7 linked regions of the Kluyveromyces lactis genome follow. The protein of the gene in region 1 purifies or fractionates together with the protein of each later gene. This does not show direct contact. Links are inferred from orthologs where the notes say so. Each region holds a gene or a part of one and is shown in the gene's direction. Other genes may lie near its edges. The genes, in order: RRP43, MPP6, RRP45, RRP6, LRP1, ECM16 and UTP10.

Region 1 (3,106 bases):
AGCTTTCTCTAGATCGCGTTTTTGATATAATTGAGATACTACCGCTCCAAGGAAGGTATCACCAGCCGCAGTAGTATCAACAACTTTCTCAACCGCTATTGAAGGAACGTGACCTCCTTTAACGTTTTGCTTAGAGGTAAAAACTGCACCGAATTCTCCCAAAGTTATAATAACAACCGAGGAATTTGATGTGTTTATCAAATTACTCTGATAATACTGCGCTAATTCTAGGTATCCCAGCTTGAAGCTCTCCGCAATTCTCGATTTGTAGTTCTCAACCACGGCTTCACCATACAGTGATTCGCCAATTTGAATGGCTTCAATTTCATTAACAATTAAAATATCAACAGATTTCCAGTCTTCTACTTTTAATGCATGAAATGGAGAAGGGTTGAATACTACCTCAAAGTTTGGTCTATTTGCCTTTATCCAATTCATGATGGAAGGAGGATCAGGAATTTCATGTTGAAACACAATGAATTCTTTGGCGTTATTTTGAAACATCACTTCAAGCTGCTTATCAGAATACATAGTCTTACTGTTCGCTCCTGCTGTAATCATGATTCTATTTTGTCCCTTAGCTTTTTCCACTATAATTACTGCAACACCAGTTGACTCGTCATCAACCTCTTCAACATATTCTGTATTGATGTTATGATACTGCAATTTTGATAGTAGTTGATTTCCAAATGAATCAGAACCTACGTGGCCAACCATCCTAATGTTGCTTGTCTGGTCATCAGATGGTTTGGTTAATTTCGCGAGCGAAATGCATTGATTCAACCCCTTACCACCAGCATGTGTTTCAAACGAATCCGCAACGAAGGTCTCTCCTGCTACCGGAACACGCTCCGTATACGTGACCAAATCAAAATTTAACGATCCCACGACAACTATGCCCATACTGTTGTCTTGTTTACTTTGGGGTCCAAGCTCTTTATGTCGCAGTTAATGCATTGTATATACTGTCAAATCCTGCATATAATTCTTATCATTTCGTTTCAGATGTCCATAAATAAACCCAAAGCAGAGAACAAAACGGTACCTTTTTACATTTAAGCTAATTAAAAGTAACGAAGATGTAACGTACCACTTGACATCTATCCCACCTTTCGCTGGATTAGCTGTTATTTAGGGTATATCACATCAATATATCGGTCACGTGAGAATTATATTCTTTTAAGCAGCCTAGGGAGTCCGCAGATCTATTCAGAACCTTGTCACTTAAGAATTGAAAGGCATAACCAGTATACTGTATCGATTCCTGATAGTGTTCGACCCTCTCAGGGGTTTATACCAGTGTTTTCCATCCATTATTACTGCATAAATCTTTCAAACCTTCATAACGTCAAGGATGTATAAAAAAGTGAAAAACTTCAACTAGGTCTTTTACAAACGATTATAGCTCATCGCATGGGCTTAAGGATGGAGGAACTCCGCCAAGGAGTTGCTACAACCGATCAAGTATGACTGAAAGTATTGATATACATCCAATAGTTTTCCCACCCGAAGTTTTAGCTCGAATTTCGCCTGACATCTCCTTACAAAGACATTTGTCTTTGGAAACTCGACCATGTTCAAGAGGATTCGAAGAATTCAGAGATGTTGCCATTAACGATGGTAATATATCTAGGTACAGTACGAACTGTCAAAATGCAACTACAAATAACATTATTGGTTCCAGTCTTCTACGCTCTGGCAAGACCTTTGTGATAACTTCGATAACGGGTGGCATCATTGAAGAGACATTACCGGCGAACAATACTGAAGATGTTGGAGAAGAAGAATTGATGAAGCTTTCAGAAGATACTGATAGGCTCTGCGAAAATTCAACTATTTATCCCGTAGTAGAGGTACAACGTGGACGTGTTGGTGGTCCTACCGATGAAGAGATGATCACTTCAGAAAAGCTATACAAGACACTCTTACATTCTGGAATTCTTAAGAAAACAGCTTTGGCTGTATCGTGCGGTATTCGCAGGACTGAAGAAGATGGAAGTGTCACCACAATATACAGTGACGAGCTACTCGATGAGGAGAAAAAAATTAATGAAGCAAACAATAGGAAATGGTCCTATGTGCTTTATGCCAAAATACAAGTTTTCAGCCGTAACGGTCCAATTTATGATCTCTGTTGGAATTCTTTGATTAGTGCGCTAAAAACAGTGCAACTACCTAGAGCTTTCCTAGACGAACGTGCTGCTGATTTGAAAATTGCTATAAGAACCCGAGGTCGTAGTATGACAATTCGTGAAACATACGACATCTTATGCGACCCACACAAATCTTTACCTTTAAAATTGAACGAAGGAGAATTATGCTATGGTTCAAACTACGGAATCATTGACATCGAACCTTTAGCACAATTGGCCAAAAATGATGACGAAATGGACGTGGATAAACCAACTTCAGTATTATTAGCGGATATAGAAACAGAGGCCGAGGAATCATCAATTCTATCTACATTGTCCTTGACAACGAACAAAAATGGTCAATTCAAGGCTGCAACAATCATCGGAGGTGACTCTAAGATCACACCTGAAATGATAAAAAGGTGCATATTTTTATCTAAACAAAGATCAAAAGATATTGAATCCAAAGTTTAGTTGTGTAAGAAGCATATCGATATCTTTATAATACACGACATATTCAAACTTTCTTCAAAACAAACGTCAGAGTAATCTTGAACGTCAATCAATAGTTACTTACAAAAGAGGCTAAATTTCTAGTTATCTACGTGAGTTCTCTTTCGTACCAAATCATGACAGGAAACCTATTGAAGGTAAAACATCCATAAGAAAATGTAACATAAATAAACAAGGATGAAGAGAAGAGAATAAAAAATGATAGCGTGTGTTGAATATTACAACGTTTACATGCAAAAACATGTATTTATGCCTTCTTAGATCTAGTATTTCTCTTTCTTGGAGCTGGAGAAGGAGAGGGAGTACTCACATTCTTCAAATCGACATTCACATATTCGTTAACCTTAGCTGCAACACCACCACGAACTCTTTTAACAACCTTAGACTTCTTTGTGCCTTGACGTCTGTACACTTCAATGTAAAATGCAATGAATAAAAATAAGTAAGAAGAGATGATGGCG
Region 2 (2,412 bases), about 460 kb from region 1:
CCAACTATATTTTGACAAATCTACATCTTCCTCATCTTCATCATTGTCTTCCCCTTCACCAGGCTTTTTGGTGTATTCCCATTGGAATAAGGCACCATCTTTACTGACCGTGTATATCTTTTCCTGGTCATCGCTGAAATATGCTCCGATAACGTTATCTCTATGTCCTGCAAAAGTCGTCGATGCAAGATTTTTCTCCTCCGAGTTAACTGACCATATCCTTGCCGTTAGGTCCTTGGATGTGGATATAATAAATCTTGAATCTTTTGACCATGTCAAGGAAGTTATATCAGAAAAGTGGCCGGCATGGATTCTATAACGAACAAAAGGTGCAAACTGTCTATCCTCAGTGGTCTCGGGTGTCCTCCATATTTGTAAGAATCTCCCACAAGCCAGCGCAAATAACTTGCCATCAGGTGAAAACTTCAAGTCATAAACCTTTTCTTTGAAGTTGAAATGATGCAATACGTTTCTTGTCTTAAAGTTCGCCAAGATACCACGACCATCGACATCAATGGAAAGAAGTAACGTACCTTGCTTGTTGATATCTACAACGGCAACGTTCTTCCTATGTTCATATTCGAAGGTAAAAGCAGTATTGTTGATCAAATCAAATACCGACACCCTATTACCTACCGGTGAAAGTAACTTGGAACCATCTTGAGAGAACAAGACGTTACCTTGCCTATAAACAGTTCCCAAAAGATTGGAAAACTTAAAATCAGACTTCATCCGTAACTAAACCCTTATAAAGCTCGTCTGACCTGATTCCTTCCAACTAATTGAAATTGAACAACTGATTATAATGCAAAGTCCTTACAAGTGACTGATAATCCGTCTGCACTTCCTGCTTGAACTCATCTCATCTCATCTCATCTCATCGCTCAATTTTTTCTCTTAAATTTTTCGAAATCCTGTATGCTGAATGAAAAAGAAAGGAAAACATATACAGCTTTAGCACGGAAGTAAAGAAAGAGAGAACAGAAACATGTCGGTTTTTGGGTGGATTGTCGTTTATGTCAGCACTTGAAACTTAGTATGAGTACTTCATTATAGCTGTTTTCATACTTTTACCAATGACCTTTTTATTTCATTTATTTTTGTACAATGTTCCTTTTATAGTGCAGATCCTTGCATTCTGAAATACGTCCGACGGGGTTTAACCATGGATATTTCTATCTTCTTGCTATCTTTCATTTTCCGGACAATCGTAAACAAACTTTTCATGAAATTCTAATATGTAAGATCAAACCATTCAGCAGAAGATTGATGAGATGAGCTGTATTAGGACTTTAATGATACATTAAAAATGTATTCCAGTGTCAATGATATAGTGAAGCCTATTTGAAAGCGGTAATAGGGGCACTAAGACGAAAAGGTAACAATGAGTGGACAGAAACGGCATGAAGTCACAGGCAAGTTATCCAATAGAGTGATGAACATGAAGTTCATGAAGCATGCGGAACAAGCAGACAAAGTTAAACAGACCGAGGAGACAATAAAGAAATTGGTGGACTCGTCAGAATGGAGGATAGGTGACAATGTAAAACTCTTGACAAAACTTGCTAATAAATCAAAAGTGGTACAGAACGTAGGTTTCTCTGCTATCAAGTCACTGAATGATGAGGATTCGAAGATCGATACAAACGATCTCAGCACAAGCACACTACGGACTAGTGTAAATGCAGGAAGAAGAATATTCGGAAATAAACTCGGACGAGCTACGCCCGGTTCAGATGGGAGTTCTAATGATAAGAAAAGAAGTTTTGAAGAAAAGGACGAGGACGATGTGTCGACGACAGATTTAGAAAAGCTATGGGAAGCCGAAACACAGACTAAGAAACAGAAGAAATCCAATGGTAATGGTAATACTGAGAGGAATAAGAAGAAGTCAAAAAGGAATAGAAATTAAACTTCATAGCAGGATGCTAAATGAGACACTAGTATTTGTATATTATTTTCGCCGACTTATATAATAAATAGAGTAGATCAAATTCCGGTAACAATACTCCATTCTATAAATGTGAACTATTTTGACCTCTTCTTACTTGAAGTAGAGGTAGCAGCTTCTGTGAAATGCCCCTTCAATATTACTTCTCTAGTTGTTGAATTTATATGCTTGAATCTATCTGGACCAATATGAACTCCTCCGAACCATCTTCCAACGGCAACAATTACATTCCATGCATCCATCACTGTGATCAAATGTAGCATTCGTCCTCCTGCAGCTGTTTCTCCATCGTCATCGCAGTCTTGGAAACTGACACCGTTCTCTCCCTTGATTCTCCATGCAACCATTAAATGATTAGCACGAGCAATTTTATTATCGGTTCTTAACAGCTCAAGCTTATCGAATGCCTCTTCTTCAGAATTGGCTTTAGTAGCAAACGCAATAAACGTGCTCTTTCTGTC
Region 3 (2,750 bases), about 630 kb from region 1:
GAAAGGATGTCTATTGGTAGCTTTGCCAAATTCAGTGGATTCTCCTGTCGAAATATTTGAACTTCCACATCCATCGAATAACGAATCAAAGAAACCTATCAAACTGTTTGTACACGACGATAAAGTATACCAGCTTAAAATCAAAAAGTTCAGTAAAGGCTGTGACTATAATTGCTCGCGAGATTTAGTGAATGATAAATATCATTATACTTCAGATTCGCAAACATTTAAATCCACATTTTTGATCAATGAAGAGAACAGGAAAGATGGACACATACTAGAAGATGGTTCGATACTATATGCCGAAAAATATGACTTAACTTTTAATATATGTGGGTATTATTATAGGAACAACAAAGTTACTAGTGAGGATCTAGCGTTTATTACACCTTGCGTTCCACCCGCACTCGATATGGATACTAACTTTTATACTAGTTCTGATTACCAAGAGAAATTAACGAATAATCACAGTGAAAATTGGGAGAAGATACCTCCAAAATTATGGGAAAGTTGTCTCGGGAAAATATCACATACAGTGGAAGAAGCTGGTGACAAGTATTATCGTATCGAACCTCAAATGATAGTAGAATGGCTACTGAAGAAAGTCATCAAAATCAACAACAACTTCCCTACTTCTCTTAAAATACCAAAATCGCTACCTGAAGATATAGCATCATCTCTGAAATGCATAATGTCGTGTAATCTTCTAGTTTCCTTGATCCCACAACTCGCATACCAGGATCTAATTAGACATGAATCTTCAAATCTTAACATCAAACAATGTTTCGACTCATACGACAAGTACAAGAACGAAACATTACAAACAGAAAGGGAAAGAGAGCTCCTTATCAAAGCTGCTATGTCTACAGCCATTCCAAATGGCACAAAAACCGTAAAGAAACAACCTATTCAAAAGGCTAAAGTTGTGAAACCAAAGGTTGCTAAGGGTAAAGGAAGAATTGACGGATTCTTCAAAACTAACAAAACATAAGTAAGGGCATATAATAATTTCGTAGAAATATCAGTATTGGATAACCTCTATCATTTTGACCTAAAGCTTCACATAACATGCCGTTGTTGAGCTCTAAAATAATTGATCTTCTTCCACTTAATACCTGTCTACAGGGTCTTCCTCCTAGAGAAACTCGCATCAATTTTGTTTTTATTCCTTTTTCATCTTTCTATCATATCAAATGAGACAAAGCTTATGAAAGATTTAGAACTATAACACTTGAAAAGTTAAAGAGTTGCGATGAGCAGCACTGAAAGAGAAAACCATAGCCGAAGAGAGCTTGCATTCGCATATCAAAATAGTTAAATCGATAAGAGGTGATGGCAAAAGATATAGAGATCAGTAATGCTGAATCCAAATTTATCCTGGAAGCGTTAAAGCTTAAACAAAGATTAGATGGACGTTCATATGACCAATTCAGAGATGTGAAGATCGAAATAGGTGAAGCATACGGTGATGTGACTGTTACCATGGGTAACACAAAGGTACACTGTCGTATCAGCTGTGAAATTGCACAACCTTATGAAGATAGACCGTTTGAAGGACTTTTCCATATAAGTACCGAAACTACACCGATGGCAGGTGCTCAGTTTGAGAATGGGAACAATACTGGAGAAGAAGAGGTATTGATCAGTAGGATGATTGAGAAAGCTGTAAGACGATCAGGAGCATTAGATGTAGAAGGTTTATGCATAATAGCTGGCTCCAAATGTTGGTCTCTTAGAGCTGATGTTCACTTTTTAGATTGTGATGGTGGACTAATCGATGCCAGTTGCATTGCTGTAATGGCTGGGTTACTTCATTTTAAGAAGCCCGACGTTACTGTTCTTGGTGAAAGAGTGACGGTACATCCGATTGATGAAAGAGAACCTGTGTCACTAGGTGTTTTGCATGTTCCAATTTGTGTGACGTTTTCATTCTTCAATCCAGACGATACAGAAGAAAATATCAAAGGTGAGGACAATGCAGAAATATCAATCATCGATGCTTCCTTAAAAGAGGAGCTATTGAGAGATGGTGTGCTTACTGTGACGCTTAATAAAAACAGAGAAGTTGTTCAAATCTCCAAAGCAGGTGGTTTGCCGATGGAAGCTTTGTCGTTGATTGATTGTTGTCATAAAGCATACGGAATTGTAGAAAAAATCACTGATCAAATTCATCGTGTTGTGAAACAAGATACCATTGCAAGAAACCAATACGCACACATTTTGAGCTCTGAAAATGCTCGTGAAACTTAAGGAGCATTGTATCGAAGAACTGGAAGCTTTTCTTCAATTATAGATTAATGCTTATGGTTGTACCATATCCCAAGACACTTGGCAGCTAGAAGTCGTTTAATCCATGCCGTTCAGCGCGTTTGATATTGTTCTGTACTATATGTTGTATGTATGAATATACAAATAATGTATCTGTTTGGTGGATATATGAGAGTGTATGCTGTGAATATCTTAGCGATAGTGAATCAAATATAAAGTCTGGTCATGTCTCTTTCTGTTGAGGAAGTCACTGATTCTTCCCGAGCGTTAAACTTTACAATATGTATTAAATTTGGATATCTGTTCAAGTCGTTCTTTTCAAATTCGAATCCGTTTCGTGAATTAAGTTCGGGATACAAATCTCGTTCATCCAACATCATCATGTGTTTGTCAATAGAAATTTGTGTCTCTGGTGCAGAATTCAAGTACCGCTCTTCTGCCGCCAAAATGTTCTTCGAATTAGCCCAGTATGTTACTGTACA
Region 4 (3,924 bases), on another chromosome or scaffold:
TGAACTCACCGGATAAAACTTCCACATACTTCTTCAAAATGGTCGATCCAATGAATCCTGGCATTGGTGGCACCTTGGTACCGCCTAGTACAACAATCAAGAACAATCTTAAAGATAAAGGAAATGGTAGATTAAACACAAACATTATATCCACTACGGGCAGGATCGTTTCACCATCTATAACCGAGGGCGATAGCTTTAATCTGAGTGAACACCGGAAAACTCGTTCCCGAGAAACTTCTGTTAATGAGAATAGTGATTCTCCTCCGATCACCATTCCACAAAAGAGAAATATGAAGGAGGATGATCCGACCAATATGGATAGAAAGAGCACTTTGCTACGCAACGGCAAAAAGCTTTCAAGTCATTTCAATAGTTGACCTTCCTTTAATTTATTTCATTGCCAGGATGGAATCAACTTCGGATTCAATTTATCTTTCGCTGAATTTGTGAAGATGGTTGGCAAAATGTGTTATGAGTCTTTTACGATACTGAAATGGTTTCCCATTTTTGTTGATGTTCTTTTCATCGCAGCAATACTCATCAATATTCACTTCATAATGTCTAGACGGAAATTAGACATTAATTGACCCACTTTTAAGTTATTGAATCACTACCCAAGATTACAATGAAAAAGCATGTAGTATTAAAGTATAGTTTCACTACTTAAATGTTTCAGGATTTTGCATTACTTTCCTTCAATTGTGCCATCTTTACTCTTACAGGTTAGCCGCCCTATATAGCTATACTTAATTGGTTGCCATAAAATGGAGCAGCTGATGCTGTCTGCTTCTAGCGTCATTTTATAATATTGAGATGAGAGATGCTGCAACATTAGTTGAAAAAAAATCCGTACATCGTAGAGGAAGCAGAAGTTATGCAAGATTATATAGTTAGTTCTCTAGTAGCCAATTAACTTATAACGTAGCCGTTGAAAGGCAATGGCGGCGGTGGTGATACGTGGTCTGACTCTCTCTGTAATACTACCGACTCTTTGAATGAATCATTTTCATCAGTAGCAGAGAACATCTAAATTTTACCCGGATTTGAATTCTTCTGATTTCTTTTGATTAGTGAATATTTCTTCATCTCATCTCATCTGGTAGTCAAAGACAGTAATATATTGGAGGGCAGTACGATTCGCCCCGTTTTGAATCCCCCGTAGACTACCAGCTGACTCTAATCCACCATGTCTTCAGAGGATAAGGATACGTTACTTTCCAGTTTGGTTCAAACTGTGAGATCATCGAGTGCATTGGCTGCACAGGATATCGATTTCTACAAAAGTTTAGATTCCAACATTAATGCATCATTAGAAGACACTTCTACGAACATTTTATCGTTAATCAACGACTTGCTTTTGTCTATTGATCCCAATAATGATGTAATTCAGCAAGGGAAAGACAGTTTTGTGGATTCTTGGAAATCCATAAGTAATATTATGGATAATTTATTTGAAAAGTCTGATCATGCACTTGACAACATTAGAGCCGGAAATGGTGGAAACGCTGGAGGTCCATCACTTAAGTATCTAAATGATGATGATCGTTCGAACAATAAACCATCCAAGAGGATTGAAAAACCTCAACTAAGTTTTAAAACTCCTGTAGATAACACAGAACTTCATCCTTTCAAGCCATTATTGGAATACAAACCCCATAGTTTACAACCGTTCGAAATTTCATTGAAGATGGTCCCAGAAGAGGAATCCATCCCGTCCCATTACCCACATCCATACGAATATGAGATCGACCACCAAAAATACAATGACTCCATTCTTGTTGCAACAGAACCGATCCCATCAAAGGACTGGGATGAAACTGAAGCAATTTGGGTTGACACCGTTGAAGGCCTTAACAAAATGAAAGATGAATTAAGTAAAGCCACAGAATTAGCAATCGATTTAGAACATCATGATTATAGGTCTTACTATGGTATAGTTTGTTTGATGCAAATTAGTGACCGGGAGCATGATTGGATTGTAGATACTATTGCATTGAGAGAGGAACTTTACATATTGAATGATATCTTTACCGACCCTAATGTTACTAAAGTTCTGCACGGTGCATTCATGGATATCATATGGCTTCAACGTGATTTAGGCTTATATATTGTTGGCCTTTTTGATACTTATCATGCCTCCAGGATGTTAGGTTTTCCAAAACACAGTCTGGCCTATCTTCTCGAAAGATTTGCTAATTTCAAGACTTCAAAAAAATATCAACTGGCAGACTGGAGAATCAGACCGTTGACCAAGCCTATGCTTGCATATGCAAGAGCTGATACGCATTTTCTCCTAAATATTTTCGATAAATTAAGGAACTCTCTACTGGAACAGAATAAGATGTCCGATGTTTTGCATGAATCGAGAAAAGTGGCTAAAAGAAGATTTGAATATAGTAGTTTCAGACCAAAGGTTCCGTCTTCAGCAGTGTTTTCACCTATTGAAAAGGATGAACCTTGGAAGAATATTATGTTTCAGTACAATATTCCGGCTTCAAAGGAATTACTTCTCCGTAGACTTTATGAATGGAGAGATACAATCGCCAGGAGGGATGATGAATCTCCTCGTTACGTGATGCCAAACCAACTACTTGTATCGTTGGTGGCTGGTGCACCAACCGAACCCATTAACGTATTGTCTGTCAGCTCATACGTTTCAGAGCATTTAAGAACAAATTCGAAGGTCATTGCAAACTTGATCAAAAGAACTTTAGAGGATCTCAAAGGAAATTCCAACTCTTCTGCGATCCCACTTTTGGAATCGGCCGAAAGTAACGGCACCGATCTGGCCAATATAATAACAACGTCCCAAATTAAATCCATTCAGAATATATTTCATTCACTTGCTTCGGAAATAAACTCTCAAAAGCTGAATAACGAACAAAATTCAGAGAAATCTGTCCTATTCAATGGTATTTCAAACTTGGATGTGAATACTGCCGTCAGATATACACCAAAGACGAGAACGCTCATTCCACAACATGAATTATTAAAGCGTCAGCATGAAATAACAAGGACGTTAGAACAAGAATACACTGACCGACAAGCTCAGAGTATTGTGCTACCGTCAAATGAGGATGAAGCTCCTACGCAAGTATCTAACGATGAAAACAGAAATGAAGTCATCACGTCTGATCCTTCTCAGGAAGAGATTGAAGAGAACAAGGATGAAGTAATTACGTTGCGCAAAAGACAATCTCAATCTAACAACAAACGAAAGACTATCAGTCCACCTGCAAGTCATGAGATTATGGATTATGCTGCTGGCTCCGACCTATTGAACTCAACAAAGAATAATACAAACTCACAGAAGCATAAAAAAAGAAGATTCGATCCTTACTCTGTTGAACATGTCGGTCCACAGCCTATCAAGAAAAAATCAAAACCTGCCAAGGGTAAGAACGTCTCATTCAAAAGATAGAGCATCTTGAGCAGCTCTAATGGTATAAATATCGAACTAGTCATATTTACAGGTTAATTTCGCTCACTAATTCGTTTGCGTAATAGTTTTTTTCCTTAGAAATAGCTACTTCTGCCTAGGCATTGAGACACAGATTGGATAACTTGAGCTTTTCTGAGACTGCCCATAAGATCCTCCAGTTGCAAGGAGTCTTTTCACAGTAGTCAGTCTATCCTAATTTCTTCATCTATAGTCATGTGCAGTGCATCAGATTAGCCAACAGTTCTCGAAAATGTTGGAACTGACAAAAAGGAATGTTGATATTCAAATTTTGTTTACTACGCGGAATTATAAGAGTGTATAAATAAGGGTATCTCATGGCATTTAAAAGAGATTTAGCCCTAAGTAGTATATATAATGAGATTGAATTTTTAATGCATACTGCAATGAACTGCTTTGATCAAACATAAAGAGCAGAAAAATTAAACGGGTACGACTCCAAGAGCTTATCTATCCTATTA
Region 5 (2,276 bases), on another chromosome or scaffold:
AATTTTGTTTCCCCCTCAAAGAGCGACAAATTCGACAGATTTAAGAGAAAACATATACCAAAGAGATAGAATTGCGTTGGGTATTGAACCTCTATGGTTCTGCAACTGGTGCCAACAGATATTTTATAGTGTATCATTACAGCTTTATCTTTTACTATACATATTATATGTGTATATGTGTATAATTGGTCAAAAACGTTCGCATGACTCAAATAAAAGATGGATCATATATGTGATGTGTCGAATCTCAAACGAAAACGAAGATTACATCCACCTATTGGCGTTGCATCTCAGTGAGACGTTTAAGATTGGCCAAGTTCTCCAGGATCTGGCCATCTGAGATCATAATTGGGGTTTGCGTATCGTTGCGGAAGTAATCTTCTGCACTTGTATGTGCTAAAGGTGGACAGAGTCTGAATGAACCAGACCGATCCATTTGATGTTGGAAGGGGGAATTTTCCGAATAGAACGCAGTTCTATCGAGTTTGACTTTGAGATGGTTCTGCTGTTCGTCGTTCCCGTTCTTTTGGTATAGGTTCTGTAGAAGCGGTTGCGGTGGCTGTATTCCAGCCTGAAGCGATGATGACTCGTGGTTCAATAGGAAGGATACGTTCATCTGTTTAGAGTTCCGCTGCAAAAGCTGATCCATTTCTGTGACGACTTTCTGCAAATTTGATGCCAAGGTTGACCATGATTCTGCATCGCTTGGCGAGAGCGAGTGTGCTTGCTCACGATATTTCTCACGAACCTGTCGTAGCTGTGTCTCTATATTCGATAAGTCATCAGCGACCATTATCTATGCTGACGAGAAACAAACTAAAGTACTTCTTGAGCTAGGCCAGTGTTGAAATTAAGTATACTGGCGGAGGGTGGATGTTACTTCAACAGTCCAAATAGGACTACTCGCCCTGTATTGAGTACAGGTTCTCCATATATGTGGTATGAATGTGTGTAATGTCTTGCGTTTTTTTTTTTTTTTTTGGCAGGCAAATATGGAATTTTCGCTGGATAAAGAAATAGAAATATTACTGAAGTACTTCTACGTGCGAAACGCACGCAGATTATTATGCGTTTTGTTCCATTGCGAAAAATTCGCAGTATTATGTTATTGATCGAAAATTTTGATTCAGTGAAGAATACTTCATCTCGGTATTATACAGCTTCATCTCATCTCATCTCATCTCATCTCATCGCTGCCTCAGTCGACAACGACAAGAACACGGACCACATACAACTACCAGCATGGAAGATACTAAGAAAATTAAACCATACATCTCGTATCTCAATAAACAGGTGGAACAACTCAGTGGTGAGATTAACAAACTAACGAGCAAGTCATTGGACGAACAACTGTTGCTTCTGCAAGATGAAAAGAAGAAACTTGATCTTTCAAACAAATACGCATATGTATTGAGTTCACTATGCTTTTCATACATGAAAGTCCTCAATATCAAAGACCTGTCACCTATCATGGCCGAATTGGCAAGGTGTAAGTCATATATGGATAAATCTAAACAGTTAGAAGCTAAGAAAGAATCTGAAGAGAAGGATGAGGTGGAGCAAGAAGAACAAGCAAAAAGAGTTCTACAATCTGCGTTGGGAGGTGGCAAAATGGAACCTGCTATCAGTAAAGTCAACTTTCAGGGGAAACATACTAAGTTTTCGACAGAGGCTTCCACCACCAGCACTGATAAGGATGGACTGGCAAATCGAGTAGTAGACGGAACAAAGAAATCAAAACAGCAAAAACAATCTGGTAAAGTATCGAAGAAATAATTCATCTGAAATATGTCCTGGCATGTTCATCCATGTATTCCTGGGTCTTATTCTGGCATTCTATATTAATAATTAGCATCGCATTTTTCACTGACATAACAAGTTGTATAGTATAAATACACTAAAATTGGGAAACAAAAAGAAGGAAATTCCAGTTGGCAAACGTGAACAAGAATTAACCAAAGATACAGGTTTCAAGTGGCAACAGAGAGTTACAGAGACCAGTAAAAGGATTAAAAGAAGTACATTTCAATAGCCATGATATCTGACGAGGATATTTCAACTTTCCAAGGTGTTTGCGGTACAGATAACGATGAATTGTCAAGACATTTCCTTGAGATGGCCGGAGGCAATTTGGAAACAGCCATCTCGTTATTCTTTGAACATGGTGGTGAGAGACAGTTGAACAGCAATTCTGGTAATAATAATGCCGGTGCTGGTGCTGGTGCTAATACAGGGGGTTCTGGCGGTCTGAGTGGCGACGTAGAGTTTGCTGAAGA
Region 6 (4,032 bases), on another chromosome or scaffold:
TTTCAGAATCACTTAAACAATCAAGATATTTGAGAGCTTGAATTATATCATTGATTCTAAAACCAGTGGCCTCGGAAAGATCCTTCAAAGTGACCTGGGCCACATCTTTCAAATTACCTTCAGTCAACTGCCAAACTATTGAGAAAGACCAAAATTTAAGATAGCCAATTAAACCGAAAGGAGATAGAGGAACTTCAGGACCCGAAATCAGACCCTGACATCTTGATAAAGTGTAGGAAAACTCAATCAAGAGAGTACCCAATCTTCTTCTTTGATAGGGCGGAAAGACAAGAATACATGCAAGGTTATTTTGGTGGTAGGAATATAAGTCTTTTGAAAAAAATGCCATCGGTACTGTAGAATTGTTCTCATACACAATATAGAATTCGAAATGCTTAACTTTGAAGTAGACAGACTTGTTATCAAGAAATAGCTTAGTAAATAGACATAAGCATTGGCAGAAAACTTCATGCTTAGAACCTTTTACCCTTCGTATAGTGTATTCGGGGCTTCTGTATTTTATTCTACCGGGTGGCTTATTCTTATATCGGCAAAAGCACTCATGTGCGATTAACTCTGCTTCATCATCAGTGTACTTGAAACAATATTCACATACGTATAGGGTATCAATCCAATACTGATCTTCAAACTTCTTTTCAGTAGGGCTTTGTTTTGCGGTGTGCTCATTGTTCGATTCCTTGAAGCCCAAGGTCCTCTTATTTCTTCCAAAATAAACATTACTCCCGTACCAAGTTGCAAATCTTTTATTCAAGCCAAATTGGACGTGCCTAATATTAGGCTTGTCAAGAATACCATATATTTCTTCATCCTCTGTTGAGCTGTTGTGCTTATCAGGTTTGGGAACCATTCATTAATGATTTGAAAAGAGGCAAAAAATGCGATTTATCACGTTTCCCAAATTTAATGAGTACTTGAAAACCCAATTAACGGTGGAATCAACTGCTCTTTGAACTTAAATGTACAAAAGATTGCCTATATCTTTGAATTATCAAAACGTTGAAAGCGACTTTCTTTTTTTTTTTTTCATCTTCCTTTATGGCAGAAAAAGCTTTAAAGCTCATCGCATCTCATCGCATCCAAGCTCACCTGCATCTATATATCAAAATCTCGTTGATAACAGGCTGGTAGTCTGAATGTTATAGGCCTCTGTGACATTAACAGTCAAGAGAAGTACCTCGCACGTTAAACGGTCAAAAAATTGAACAACAAACATGGGTACCTATAGGAAGCGCTGGAATGAGAAAGCACGCGCGGGTCAGATGTCTAAGTTGAAGGAGTTGAAGAGAGTAAGGAATAGGCAGTTCACCCGTGCACTTGAAAATTCTTCCGATGCTGATTCTGAAGAAGGTAATTCATCTGAAGATGAACATCATGAATCACCCGATCATCAGGAAGATACGAACGCTGCTGTATTGAAACCCATGACGGAGGAAGAGAAACAAGAGAAAAAGCGTAAATTGGAAGAGCTATTCACACCTAAGGAAACGAAGGTCTCTAGGACGAAGAAAAAAAGGTTAGAGAAGTTCATCGAGCATCAATTGAAAAGAGAGGAGAAAAAAGTTTTGATAGAAAAACTTCAGGACTATAAAATTGATACTAAGCTTTTGACAAGTTCTAAGATTTTGGGACAAGGAAGGCAAACTAAGAGGCAAGGGATTGAAGAAGCCCTCAAATTAGAAAGAAATGGACGTGGTGATGAAACTACCAGGGAAATTCTTTACGATGAAACTGAGGTAAGGGATTGGTATCAAGATCATCCAGAAACTAGGCCCAGTCAGGAAAGCACAGCTGAAAATTGCAATTCGGATAGTGATGAAACGGACCATACCAGTTCAGATCACCCTATTTCGGCAAATACTGGGGGATTTATTGATAATAGACCCAGTAAATTTGGTGGGTCAGGTTTTGGTTTTGGATTCGGTAATGCAAAGGTGGTGAATAAAAGGGCCTCGAAGAAAAGGTATAACTGGAAGCAAAAGGTAGAGCAAGAAGAACGTAGAAGGCGTAAACTGGATGATGATCAGGATTTTGAATCTGACGAAAGTGAATCAGAAGAACATTCATCCACTGCAGAAAGTGAACCTGATGAGAGTGAATCTAATAGTAATGCTGATAGTCACAGCGATGATGAGTCGAGTGAGTCTGACGGCGAGGAAAGATCGGATTCAGAAATAGCGCAGTGCAGAAACGTAAGTTCTTCAGTTGCCCAAGAATTTAAAGAGTGGGCAAATCAGGAAATTAAAAAGCTTGAAGGTAGAGATGTAGAAATGGTTATGCCTTCCTCCAACATCAAGGTCGATAGGACCGAGAGACCTGAAGACTTTGAAGATGGACTCAAAGCAGATGAATTTAATGTGAACGAAAATTCAACACGTAAGGCTTTTTATGTCAAGGTACGGAGATCTGATGCTGTTCAAGCTGTGAGAAGCGCACTACCTGTTTTCGCCGAGGAACATAGAATTATGGAAGCTATCCATCATAATGACGTTGTAATCATTTGTGGTGAAACTGGTTCAGGTAAAACGACACAGGTACCGCAGTTTCTTTACGAGGCAGGATATGGTAATTCGTCCTCAACTGACACGCCTGGGATGATTGGAATAACACAACCTAGAAGAGTGGCCGCTGTCTCTATGGCTGGACGTGTTACTAATGAGATGGGTGATCATGGCGAATATGTAGGATACCAAATTCGGTTCGATTCTTCTACCAAGGATAAAACAAGAATGAAATTTATGACTGATGGTGTTTTGCTAAGAGAGATGATGAACGATTTTAGACTTTCTAAATACTCTTCTATCATTATCGATGAAGCTCACGAGAGGAACATCAATACAGATATTTTGATTGGTATGTTAAGTCGTTGTGTCAGCTTACGTGCTAAGGAGCATGCAACTGATCCGGCTAAGTACAAAAAACTTAAACTAATTATCATGTCTGCCACCTTGAGAGTATCAGATTTTAGTGAAAACCCTACTTTATTCCCTGTTTCTCCACCTGTCTTAAAGGTCGACGCCAGGCAGTATCCAGTGGCTGTACATTTCAATCGTAGAACAGCTTATAACTATGCTGAAGAGGCTTTCAGGAAGACGTGTAAAATACATCAAAGGTTGCCTCCTGGTGCTATCTTGGTTTTTATGACAGGACAGCAAGAGATCACGCACATGGTAAAAAGGTTAAGAAAAGAGTTTCCTTTCCCCAAGAAACATCAAACTCTCATTCAAAATGACCACATACCTACAGTGAAAATAGATGCCAAAACTGCAGATGTAGAAGCTGAAGATATCGACTTCAGTGTCAGAGTTAGAGAGGAACAAGAATTTGACGATTGTTTACTCTCTGATGAGGAAGATATTGAGGACAAAGAAGAGGACGAAGAAGAAGGTTTTGAAGAAACACTTGAAGAAGGTCAGACGGATAGAGATCCACTATATGTTCTTCCTCTTTACTCGCTATTGCCCACCAAAGAGCAAATGAAGGTCTTCCTTGATCCCCCACCAAACTCCAGATTATGTGTTGTTGCTACTAATGTGGCAGAAACATCATTGACCATACCGGGAGTAAGATACGTCGTTGATTGTGGTAGATCAAAGGAAAGAAAGTTTGATGAAAATAATGGTGTTCAGAGTTTCGAAATTGACTGGATTAGCAAAGCTTCTGCTGGCCAAAGAAGTGGTAGAGCAGGGCGTACAGGGCCTGGTCATTGTTATCGTTTATACTCCTCTGCAGTTTTCGAAAGAGATTTTGAGCAGTTTTCTAAGCCTGAAATTTTAAGAATGCCTGTGGAGAGTATAGTTTTGCAAATGAAGAGCATGGCTGTTCATAATATTGTGAATTTTCCATTCCCTACCCCACCCGAAAGACCAGCTTTGATGAAGTCAATAAAGCTCTTACAACACCTAGGTGCACTCGACAGTAATGAAAGAATCACTGATGATGGTAAAGCAATGAGTTTGTTTCCGCTAAGTCCAAGATTTTCTAAAATGCTGCTTGTTGGTAATGAAAGCGACT
Region 7 (4,004 bases), on another chromosome or scaffold:
GACCAAGATTGGGTTACCTGTGGAATTCACACCCTCACATAAATCAGAAGATACATAGTATTCTGGGAAAGTCACCGGAGTCTTTCCATCCTTCAAAGTAGAAACATGAACCAAGTCACCATACTTAACAACACCTCTAGCAACCTCAGCAGCGTATTCACGAGTTAGGTTGAACTCTTTCTCCTTATGAGAGGACTCTCTCAATTTCTTATCGCACCCTTCGCGTGCAGAAACGGAATCTAAAGCTAAAGCCAAAGATAACAACAAAGTACTACACTTCATGACTGAATTATTAATGGCTCAATAACTGATGTCGTTATTTGGATAAACAATCTCTCCGCAAGTTGTAACCCCTAAGCTCATCGCTATTCAATCTTGATAGAAGGTTCCTTAAACCTGTCGTTGCCTATATATAAAATAAACGGTACAAAATTTATAATGCGGTAAATTACATAATGCAAACTAAGGTAAGGAAGGTGCTCAGCCTCAAACTTCCGAAAAAGTAGTTTGTTTACCAGAAGAAAACATTTTTGCAGTTCACCCAAGCCTTTGCATTGAGATTGGTTCGGACGAACCATCCGCCTAGATCTCGGATCTAAGTTTAATCGCAGAGACATCGCCGCATAACCACATCGCTCCAGCCAGGTGTGTTTTTCTTTTGTTCTTATATGAGCCGGTCCTTTGCTGAAAAGCCAGTCTGAACGCAGGCCCAACGCACACAACTCACACACACCCTCAAATGGAAACGTTGAGGCATTGCTAAGTAGATAGCTGCTATGAGCCTTGTTTATGCCAAACATGCTTATACGGTTGGCTGAGATCCGAAATTCCTCAGAAACTAGCCATTACTTGTAGTGTGACCTTGCACGGCACATGATGTATTGAAACAACTCTTAAGTCTGTATGTACTTCAATAGATCCGAAAGCAGGTGGAAACTGACCAGTAGCTTGCATATTGAGCTACGGGGAGACTTGACCCAAGTTTATGGTATCACTCCATTTTCATACACGTGACCATAAATGAATTTCTTTTCACCGCAGCATGAACAAATCGAAAATTTTAAAGAGTGAAAGAAAAAAAAAGTAGCGATGAGATGAGATGAGATGAGGTTCAAATCGTTGGCTTTGCAATCATCTCCTGGCGATAGATTTTTGATCAGGTTCGACTTGCTAGTACTCCAGGCAACGGCAGAGACGATATAGAATGTCATCTTTACGTGATCAATTAGCGCAGGTAGCGCAGAATAACGCTACTGTTGCTCTTGATAGAAAGAGAAGACAAAAGTTACATTCTGCGTCTTTGGTTTACAATCCGAAGACTGCTGCTACTCAGGACTATGAGTATATATACGATACAGCGTTGGAATCGTTTCATACTTTGGTGAGTTTGGACTTGAGGTTCAAAGTTTTCACTAATTCCTTATTCAGTGCATCTTCCGTGACCATTGATAGAAACGTTCAAACAAAGGATCAGATTAGAGATTTGGATAACGCAGTTAATGCGTATTTGATGTTGATTTCGCCGAAATGGCATCTAACTCCAGCTTTGCATGCTACGGAATGGTTGATTCGTAGGTTCCAAATTCATATCCATAACGCCGAAATGCTTCTTCTATCTACTTTGAACCAATACCAAACGCCGGTGTTCAAAAGGATCCTCAATATCGTTAAGCTACCACCTTTGTTCAACCCATTTACCAATTTTGTCAGAAACGATAAGAATCCAACCGATTTGACGTTGATCAAATTGTTTAACGATATGGACTTCTTGAAGCTTTATTCAAATTATCTGTCCAAGATTATCAAGCAAAAAGTTACCTATACGAATCAACTGCTATTTACCACATGTTGTTTCATTAACGTGATCGCTTTCAATGCGAACGATGAAGATAAGTTAAATAAATTGGTCCCATTGATTTTGGAAATTTCCGCAAAACTTTTGGCATCGGATTCAAGCGATTGTCAAATGGCTGCTCATACTATGCTCGCGGTACTTGCCACCGCATTGCCTTTGAACAAAAGCATTATCATTGCGGCTACGGAAACTATCTTGGCCAATTTAAAGGAAGACGATGCTAGAAAAAAAGCTCTCGTCACAATCTCAAAACTTTTCCAAACCTTGAAAGGTGTAGGTAATGTGGATCAATTACCGGTCAAGATCTATAAACTCGTTGATAATTCTTTCCCATTCGAATATCTACTACAGTTCCTGAGTAATGAAAACAAATATTCCTCAGATAAATTTTTCACTGCATACATTAGGTCTGTCATCAGATATGATCATGATAAATTGAGTCAAATTGTCAAAATCTTAAGGAAGATTAAGTTGGAAAAATACGAAGTTAGATTTATCATCACTGATTTGATACATTTATCTGAAGTTCTAGAGGACAAGTCACAATTAATCGATGTTTTTGAATACTTCATTTCCATTAACGAGGGACTAGTTTTGAAATGTCTTCAAGCACTAAACCTGACCGGAGAAGTTTTCGAAATAAGATTGACAACTTCATTATTTTCCGTCAAGAACAGTGCGGAACAATCTGGTGAAGATATCATTAAAGTTCTAGATGATGCTAAAGCATCAACCGCGAATGGTTCAGCTGTTCCATTTAAAGATTTCATGACCAAAAACTCAGAGTTCATCTCCACTAAAGCGGAGTCTATGCTTCTTGTTAAAGATGAAAAGTTTGTCAAGCTGTTGTCATTATTTGTGGAAGCTGTAAGTAAAGGATATCAACCAGGTCTATTTTTATCCTCCTTCTTCACTACTTTAGAGAGCAGGATAACGTTTGTGCTCAGAATCATCGTATCCCCTGGTTCGCCTGTTGCTCTCAGATTGATTTCACTAACACAGTTAAGCAAATTCATCAATGGTATAGATGAGCAAACGGATCTTTTCTCTTTGGTACCTATTCTAGTGACAGCATTGATGGATATTTCTAGATCTGTTCGTTCCAACACGAAAAAGGTTCTACAACAGATAGCCAAGAGACCTTTCACAGCAAAGTATTTCCTATCTAACGTACTCTACGGAGAGAATTTAAAGGTGCCAATGTTAAGTCCGAAAGATAGCAAGTTTTGGTTGACCAACTTTTTAAGCGATTACATCGTTGAAAGTACAGATATTTCATCCCTCGTCATTCCATCCAAAAATGACATGGTATATATGCTGTTTTGGTGCAACCAGGCACTGCATCTTCCTCTCGCCTATTCGAAGACTATAATGTTAAAGCTCTTGACCGCTGTGCCACAATATGCTTTTACATATTCAAAGGTGTTCGAACAATTTATGGCCACATACATCACGGAAAGAAGTTCCTGGGAAACGAAGTGCATCAAAAATAAAACCAATTTCAAAGACTTCGAAACTGCGGTATGTGCCATTGTTGCACCAAAAGAAAAAAACAGTTTCGCGATAGATTTTTTGATTAACTGTTTGGAATCAGAATATGAACAACTTTCGAATATCATGGCAGACAGAATTTTATCTTTGTATCCAACATTGAAATTCCCAAACCAATTAAAAATTGTTCAGAGTATAATAGACTCCTCAGTTGACAAAGAACTATCATATGATGGTCTAGAAACCCTTCAAAGTCTTCCATTAACTGCAGATATTTTTGTCTCTGTGTTGAAAAGTAATACCATAAACAGCGAAGATCAAACAGATTTGACTAAACGTAGAAGAAGAAGATCGTCTACGGTTAACAAGTCCGCCCTACAGAAACAAGATATTTCTCAAATTGCCGAAGCCCACCTAAAGAAAATGACTATTATTCTGGAGACTTTGGATAAATTGAAGGTAAAGAGTAACGAAAATCTATTGAATGCCTTATTCAACCTTTTGTCCGACTTGGAAACTTTAGACCATGATGGTGGTTTGCCTGTACTTTACGCTCAGGAAACTCTGTCCTCTTGTCTTTTGAACACTATTTCTTCTCTAAAATCTAACAACGGAAGTATGAAATTACCCTCTATTAGAGCAGATATACTAGTCGCTG

Evidence for each region.
Region 2: the proteins of RRP43 (region 1) and MPP6 purify together in Saccharomyces cerevisiae (affinity purification with mass spectrometry; 4 studies listed by BioGRID, with this or other methods). This does not show direct contact. The link is inferred for Kluyveromyces lactis from reciprocal best matches to the Saccharomyces cerevisiae genes RRP43 and MPP6.
Region 3: the proteins of RRP43 (region 1) and RRP45 purify together in Saccharomyces cerevisiae (affinity purification with mass spectrometry; 7 studies listed by BioGRID). This does not show direct contact. The link is inferred for Kluyveromyces lactis from reciprocal best matches to the Saccharomyces cerevisiae genes RRP43 and RRP45.
Region 4: the proteins of RRP43 (region 1) and RRP6 purify together in Saccharomyces cerevisiae (affinity purification with mass spectrometry; 11 studies listed by BioGRID, with this or other methods). This does not show direct contact. The link is inferred for Kluyveromyces lactis from reciprocal best matches to the Saccharomyces cerevisiae genes RRP43 and RRP6.
Region 5: the proteins of RRP43 (region 1) and LRP1 purify together in Saccharomyces cerevisiae (affinity purification with mass spectrometry; 4 studies listed by BioGRID). This does not show direct contact. The link is inferred for Kluyveromyces lactis from reciprocal best matches to the Saccharomyces cerevisiae genes RRP43 and LRP1.
Region 6: the proteins of RRP43 (region 1) and ECM16 purify together in Saccharomyces cerevisiae (affinity purification with mass spectrometry; 3 studies listed by BioGRID). This does not show direct contact. The link is inferred for Kluyveromyces lactis from reciprocal best matches to the Saccharomyces cerevisiae genes RRP43 and ECM16.
Region 7: the proteins of RRP43 (region 1) and UTP10 purify together in Saccharomyces cerevisiae (affinity purification with mass spectrometry; 3 studies listed by BioGRID). This does not show direct contact. The link is inferred for Kluyveromyces lactis from reciprocal best matches to the Saccharomyces cerevisiae genes RRP43 and UTP10.

Annotation. Positions count from the first base shown.
Region 1 is NC_006039.1:318,832-321,937, forward strand, and holds RRP43 (exosome non-catalytic core subunit RRP43), read left to right. Parts: upstream 1-1,466; coding exon 1,467-2,606; downstream 2,607-3,106. Other genes in the region: RBK1 (putative ribokinase), read right to left, coding at 1-903; KLLA0_C03542g (elongation of very long chain fatty acids protein), read right to left, coding at 2,893-3,106.
Region 2 is NC_006039.1:782,856-785,267, reverse strand, and holds MPP6 (Mpp6p), read left to right. Parts: upstream 1-1,384; coding exon 1,385-1,912; downstream 1,913-2,412. Other genes in the region: snoRNA-binding rRNA-processing protein PWP2, read right to left, coding at 1-732; YIH1 (Yih1p), read right to left, coding at 2,029-2,412. UniProt on the Saccharomyces cerevisiae protein: RNA-binding protein that associates with the RNA exosome complex. Involved in surveillance of pre-rRNAs and pre-mRNAs, and the degradation of cryptic non-coding RNAs (ncRNA) derived from intergenic regions and the ribosomal DNA spacer heterochromatin.
Region 3 is NC_006039.1:952,725-955,474, forward strand, and holds RRP45 (exosome non-catalytic core subunit RRP45), read left to right. Parts: upstream 1-1,332; coding exon 1,333-2,250; downstream 2,251-2,750. Other genes in the region: RNH202 (Rnh202p), read left to right, coding at 1-991; KLLA0_C11121g (uncharacterized protein), read right to left, coding at 2,475-2,750. UniProt on the Saccharomyces cerevisiae protein: Non-catalytic component of the RNA exosome complex which has 3'->5' exoribonuclease activity and participates in a multitude of cellular RNA processing and degradation events.
Region 4 is NC_006040.1:113,524-117,447, forward strand, and holds RRP6 (exosome nuclease subunit RRP6), read left to right. Parts: upstream 1-1,189; coding exon 1,190-3,424; downstream 3,425-3,924. Other genes in the region: PHO80 (Pho80p), read left to right, coding at 1-380. UniProt on the Saccharomyces cerevisiae protein: Nuclear-specific catalytic component of the RNA exosome complex which has 3'->5' exoribonuclease activity and participates in a multitude of cellular RNA processing and degradation events.
Region 5 is NC_006041.1:1,510,361-1,512,636, forward strand, and holds LRP1 (Lrp1p), read left to right. Parts: upstream 1-1,242; coding exon 1,243-1,776; downstream 1,777-2,276. Other genes in the region: KLLA0_E16985g (uncharacterized protein), read right to left, coding at 275-793; DNA protein crosslink repair co-factor UBX5, read left to right, coding at 2,035-2,276. UniProt on the Saccharomyces cerevisiae protein: Required for exosome-dependent processing of pre-rRNA and small nucleolar RNA (snRNA) precursors. Involved in processing of 35S pre-rRNA at the A0, A1 and A2 sites. Required for activity of RRP6 in 7S pre-rRNA processing.
Region 6 is NC_006042.1:1,597,097-1,601,128, reverse strand, and holds the start of ECM16 (ATP-dependent RNA helicase ECM16), read left to right. Parts: upstream 1-1,232; coding exon 1,233-4,032. Other genes in the region: SAS2 (histone acetyltransferase), read right to left, coding at 1-868. UniProt on the Saccharomyces cerevisiae protein: Probable ATP-binding RNA helicase. Required for 18S rRNA synthesis. May play a role in restructuring of the pre-rRNA.
Region 7 is NC_006042.1:1,973,999-1,978,002, forward strand, and holds the start of UTP10 (snoRNA-binding rRNA-processing protein UTP10), read left to right. Parts: upstream 1-1,204; coding exon 1,205-4,004. Other genes in the region: KLLA0_F21164g (uncharacterized protein), read right to left, coding at 1-282. UniProt on the Saccharomyces cerevisiae protein: Involved in nucleolar processing of pre-18S ribosomal RNA. Required for optimal pre-ribosomal RNA transcription by RNA polymerase I together with a subset of U3 proteins required for transcription (t-UTPs). Involved in ribosome biosynthesis.